Kluyveromyces lactis: one gene and its partner. The protein of the gene in region 1 purifies or fractionates together with the protein of each later gene. This does not show direct contact. Links are inferred from orthologs where the notes say so. Each region holds a gene or a part of one and is shown in the gene's direction. Other genes may lie near its edges.

What was found.
Region 2: the proteins of DHH1 (region 1) and LSM1 purify together in Saccharomyces cerevisiae (affinity purification with mass spectrometry; 6 studies listed by BioGRID, with this or other methods). This does not show direct contact. The link is inferred for Kluyveromyces lactis from reciprocal best matches to the Saccharomyces cerevisiae genes DHH1 and LSM1.

What each region holds. Positions count from the first base shown.
Region 1 is NC_006039.1:1,452,242-1,455,878, forward strand, and holds DHH1 (DExD/H-box ATP-dependent RNA helicase DHH1), read left to right. Parts: upstream 1-1,413; coding exon 1,414-2,958; downstream 2,959-3,637. Other genes in the region: mitogen-activated protein kinase kinase STE7, read right to left, coding at 1-454. UniProt on the Saccharomyces cerevisiae protein: ATP-dependent RNA helicase involved in mRNA turnover, and more specifically in mRNA decapping by activating the decapping enzyme DCP1.
Region 2 is NC_006041.1:1,348,437-1,350,567, forward strand, and holds LSM1 (Lsm1p), read left to right. Parts: upstream 1-920; coding exon 921-1,460; downstream 1,461-2,131. Other genes in the region: FMP46 (putative redox protein), read right to left, coding at 1-303; KLLA0_E15181g (uncharacterized protein), read right to left, coding at 1,800-2,131. UniProt on the Saccharomyces cerevisiae protein: Component of the cytoplasmic LSM1-LSM7 complex which is involved in mRNA degradation by activating the decapping step.

The sequences.
Region 1 (3,637 bases):
GAGCAATCTGAGTAGTCAATGTGGCCGTTTCATCTGTCTCCTGTTGCATCATACTGACTCCTGTAGGAGTAAGTGACATTGGAGCATCTCTTGTGGTTGGTGTAGTCCCGCTGACAATGGAAGATATATCTGATGTACTAGAACTCCCTTGAAGGAATGAAACCGTCTGGAATGAAGTGTCTCTGCTAATTGGACTTATTTCCTCACGGACCGGAAGCTTCTCCAACATCAAACTGAGTGTTGGACCATTTCCATTACTAAAACCTTTCGGTATTTCGTCAGGAGAGGAAGATGATGATGAACATGATGATTCTAGAGTCAAATGCTTCAAATTCTTCCGTTTCAAAGTCTTCGGTTTGAACAAACTATTGCACGATCCCTCTGCACTATCATTCGACGGTTCATGGTTTATTCGATTCAATAACATCGAGCCGTTTTGGGTACGTGTAATCATATGCTTTTAAGTCAATCTGACCTCAATGTTCACCACTTTCTGCGCCTCTTCTCTTTGGAGATATTAAAGTTTTACGATCAATAATAGATATTAATACCAAAGCCAAACTTACAGGCTCAGATGATTGTAAAATGAGACAAAAATTAAAATGCAACTAGAAACCCTAATAGAAAGACCCCACCAGGTTCCAAAAAACAACACACGTTGGCTCTTTGCAACACTCCTTGCTGCCTCAGTAATCGTCTCTTTCTTCTTCTGAGTTACTGCTTAGCCTTGTATAGGCTTTCTTTATCATTACTTAATTATTACGCTACTTTTTATTTATACGGTGCATGATAAATTAGTGTGGTCCTCAACGGAACCACGAATAGAACAAGAAAATGAAAGGAAGTCACTTCTGCTATTGAACGTAATGGGAATGCCTAGTTGCCTCGAGCATTCTCATTTCAACGTACGCTCATATGCGCTGATACATCTATATATATTTTTGTCTAGGCATTCCCATTATTCGCACTGCATCGTACCTTATCGCTACAAGTGATAGAGAAGCCTCACGGTGCTGAGCTTAGCCCTTGGCATATTTGTTACCCGGACATGTCTTCACTTTTCTTATCACGTGACAATTCGGATTTTGTGAAAAGGGTGATATCCGTTACCCGCACTTGTAATTGCTTCAGTAGGGTAACATTGCTCTTCCCTCCACTCTGGAAAGAAGAAAAAATTATGAAGTTTAGAATTAATTTGAACAATTATTACAGAGGCACAAGAGGAAATAAAAGTATAACATGTGTATTATGGTCATAGGTATAGTATTTATACATTCTACTCTGTGATATTAGCAACAGCATAGTTTCCGGATATACACTAATTGACTAATTTTATTAATTGACTAATTCATTGAAGCTTTATTTAAGAAGGTTTAACTTTATCTGCAAAGAATATTAAAGATAATTGATAATATGGGCAGCGATACAAGCGAAAGTAATAACGACTGGAAGACCCAGTTGAATATTCCTAAAAAGGATACGAGGCCTCAGACTGATGATGTGTTGAACACGAAGGGTCGTTCGTTTGAAGATTTCTATTTGAAAAGAGAACTTTTGATGGGTATATTTGAAGCAGGGTTTGAGAAGCCTTCCCCAATCCAAGAAGAAGCTATTCCCGTTGCCATTGCCGGGAAGGATATATTAGCGCGTGCCAAGAACGGTACTGGTAAGACGGCAGCGTTCGTTATACCAACTTTGGAAAAAGTGAAGCCCAAGTTGAACAAAATTCAAGCATTGATTATGGTTCCTACAAGAGAGTTGGCTTTGCAAACATCACAAGTGGTGCGCACGCTAGGGAAACACTGTGGTATCTCTTGTATGGTTACCACTGGTGGTACGAATTTGAGAGATGACATCATGAGATTAAATGAACCTGTACACATTTTGGTGGGTACGCCCGGTAGAGTGCTAGATTTGGCATCAAGAAGAGTGACAGATTTGAGCGAATGTCATTTGTTCATTATGGATGAAGCGGATAAGATGTTAAGTCGTGACTTTAAAGTGTTGGCGGAACAAATACTTGGGTTCTTACCAGAACGTCGTCAACTGCTTTTGTTCAGTGCGACTTTCCCAGTCACCGTGAAAGAGTTCATGGTGAAGCATTTGAAAAACCCTCATGAGATTAATTTGATGGATGAATTGACACTAAAGGGTATATCACAATTTTATGCATTCGTGGAAGAAAAACAAAAACTTCATTGCTTGAACACTTTGTTCAGTAAATTGCAAATCAACCAAGCAATTATCTTTTGTAATTCTACTAACCGTGTCGAACTTTTGGCTAAAAAAATTACTGAATTAGGATTTTCTTGTTACTACTCACATGCTAGAATGAAACAATCCGAAAGAAACAAAGTCTTCCATGAATTCCGCCAAGGTAAAGTTCGTACGTTGGTTTGTTCCGATTTGTTAACTCGTGGTATCGATATTCAAGCCGTTAATGTGGTCATTAACTTCGATTTCCCAAAGACTGCCGAAACTTATTTGCATCGTATTGGTAGATCTGGTAGGTTCGGTCACTTGGGTTTGGCTATCAACTTGATTAACTGGAACGATAGATTCAACTTGTACAAGATCGAGCAAGAATTAAACACCGAAATTGCTCCTATCCCATCTCAAATTGATAAATCCTTGTACGTTGCGGAAGATAGTTCCGCAGTCCCAATCCCATTCCCTTTGGAATCCCTGCCAATCACTGCAAATGCTCCCCAACAACCTGCAAATGCTGAACCGTTGCCTCCTCAACAAACTCAAGTGCAATTCCATGCTCCTCCTCAGCAGCAACAGCAACAACAACAGCAACAACAACAACAACAATATCAACAATTCCCAAACCAACAACAACAGCAATATGGTCAGCCTCTAATGCCGCAAAACTACCAACAACAGGCTTATCCACCTCAACCTTTCCCATCAAAAGGCTTCCCACAACAACAATACACTCAAGCTCCTCAATAATGAATTAAGCATTGTTTTAATGCTTGCTTCTAACGGAGCAGTTTTTTTTTTTATCTTAATTTCCCACTTTTACTACTCAAAACCCAAGTCGATCCTATGAGTTGAAATTCAGGTCCAATTTCAGTTCTTGTCATTATTTTGTATTTGTTAAAAAATTAGGCTTTGTCCACATACCACGCATATTGTACCTCTAGACGCTATTGAATATTTTCAAATACTCGACAATCCTTGCGCGTTTCAAAAATCTCACTAATGTTGATTGTACATTAACCAAAATTGACTATAACTAAATGTATCATAATCAATGCACTTTTTCAGCACACTTTATTTGGTTGCTCTATAGGGTCTTATTCTTTTTGCCCTGAATTAATATGAATCGTGGGTTTCAATACTAACCATCTCTACGAATTCCACTAAAGGTTCCTGGACTTTGTTCCCCACCTTTGCTTGTATGCCCAGGTTTGGAATACGAATGCCTTCATTTTTTCTTTTTCAGGCGCTATCGCCTGTAAATTTAATCAATCAGCTTCTTCCTCCATTCATTCCAATCGCCTGTCCTACTACGATAATTTCAAAAGAATCAGTATTACTAAACTGGCCGGTCTTAACCGTGATGGCTCAATCATACAATATAGCCAATCAATCTACTCAATCTACTTATCCTCTCTTTTTTTTTTCT
Region 2 (2,131 bases), on another chromosome or scaffold:
TTTATTCCAAGACCCATTCTCGACACATTTCTGCAATGGTGACCCAAATAGTGGATCCTCAGCAGCTTTTTTCAAAAGAGATTCCGTCTTAGGAATCTGTTCCATTAAGTCGGGCTTATCAATTTTTGCCAAATATTCCAATTGATCTCTAGTAGGGAATTTCTGGCATATTTCAATGTTGATTTTGTTCTTGTGGTTCGATTTTAATGCCGTTAGAAGATTTTGAGCATGAGATGATTCTAATTTGTGTGTGAATAATGTCACTACGCGAGGTTGAAATTGGATGGTTTTAAACATAGACATGATGAATTGAAGATACTGATTGTCAATGTCCCCCTCTATAAAAAATTCGAACTTTTACTCAGTTAAATACTTCAGTCTAATTAAGTCAGGTCACCCCAGTAATTGTTGCTGCCTTTATATACGCAATACTAAATTAAGACATCTTTGAAATATGTACATTTTGGAAATCATACTATTATCCCTCAAATACGCATGGCAGGGAAACAAAATCCCGGAAAATCCAGCAATCAATACTATGATACGGAGTCATGACGTCCCTACTTAGTATCCGGATTGGCAGCACCTTTCACCTACTTGGAAACAGAATCATCAAGCTAACCATTTGTGCCTTGTCTGTGCAATGACTATGCGGTCCTGTAGCAAAGGTAGTCATCCTATAGTTACCCTGCCTCAACGTTACCATACATTTTTTTTCTTCAATTCGTTTCAGCTAGCTCAACATCAAATGGAATTGCAATGAACTGCCAAAAAGATGAATCGTTGGACGCTTTAACGGCCTATTTATCCTTCAAGTGATACCCAGAACTATCACAATCAGTGTTGAATTTTACAATTCATTATAATCTTTTTTTTTTTTTTCACTTGCTCATTGAAAGAATCAGAGTCTCAAATTACAAATGTCCTCTTCGTCTCCGAATAGCGACAGAGCAAGTTCAGTAGGAGTTACTGAACCAGTGGCTTCCGATGTGGAAGAAAATCGTCCTAAGTCCAAGCTATCAGAAGGTGAAGCAGATTTATATTTGGACCAATACAATTTCACAACTACAGCTGCCATTGTTGGCTCAGTAGACCGCAAGATATTCGTACTATTGCGCGATGGCCGTATGTTCTTCGGTGTACTAAGGACGTTTGATCAATATGCCAACTTAATACTACAGCATACGGTGGAAAGAATATATATCGAGGGTGAGAATAAATATGGTGAATGTGACAGAGGAGTTTTCATGATAAGAGGTGAAAACGTTGTTATGTTGGGCGAAGTAGACATCGATAAGGAGGATGCACCATTGGAATCGATGGAACGTGTTCCATTTGAGGAAGCTGAAAGCTATAAGGAGAAAATGGACGAGGTGAAATACAAGGAGAACACTGCTAAGGGTAAGAGACTAGCGCAGCTTGGTTTAACTACCGATTTCAATAAAGGTGATTTGTATTAAGTATAAGATTATAATTAGTTTAAAAGACAAGCAAAAAAAAATCGTAAAACATACAATTCGAAACTAAACTAAACTAAACTAAATCATTACACAAACTGGAGATCGTGTGGTTTTGAAGGGTATTTATCTTTTGATACTCAATTATATATCACATAGAGATATATATATTCACTTATATATGGTTCGGTACTGTACTATTCATAATAAGTAAAATGCATAGATAGCGCGGCATGGCATTCCAAAAAAAAAAAAAAAAAAATTAATGGGACAATAATCCCCATTTGACATAAAATAGAACCATTATAACGGTCAAAATTAATTCTTAACTAACGGATCAACTCATTTGCCAGCGAGCGTCGTTAATTCTTGATCGTATGTCTTTTGAAATTTGTTATAATTACTGATTTCCAACCTCCCCAGTTGTGATATTAATGATTCGTCCGGCGTATCATTAATTCTTAGCGATCGACTCACTTGCCACATATGTGACAAGGGTGTTTGTGTTGAACAGAGTCCGTAACATCCATGCAACTGGATAGACCAATCCACCAGTGACGAGATTTCCTTTGGTGTCACGGCTTTCACCATCCCAATTTCTTCTCTTGCCGCTTTTACACCTTCGTAATCACATTTGATTGCCGCGTTGAAACAAAGCAGCTTACAGGTTTCAA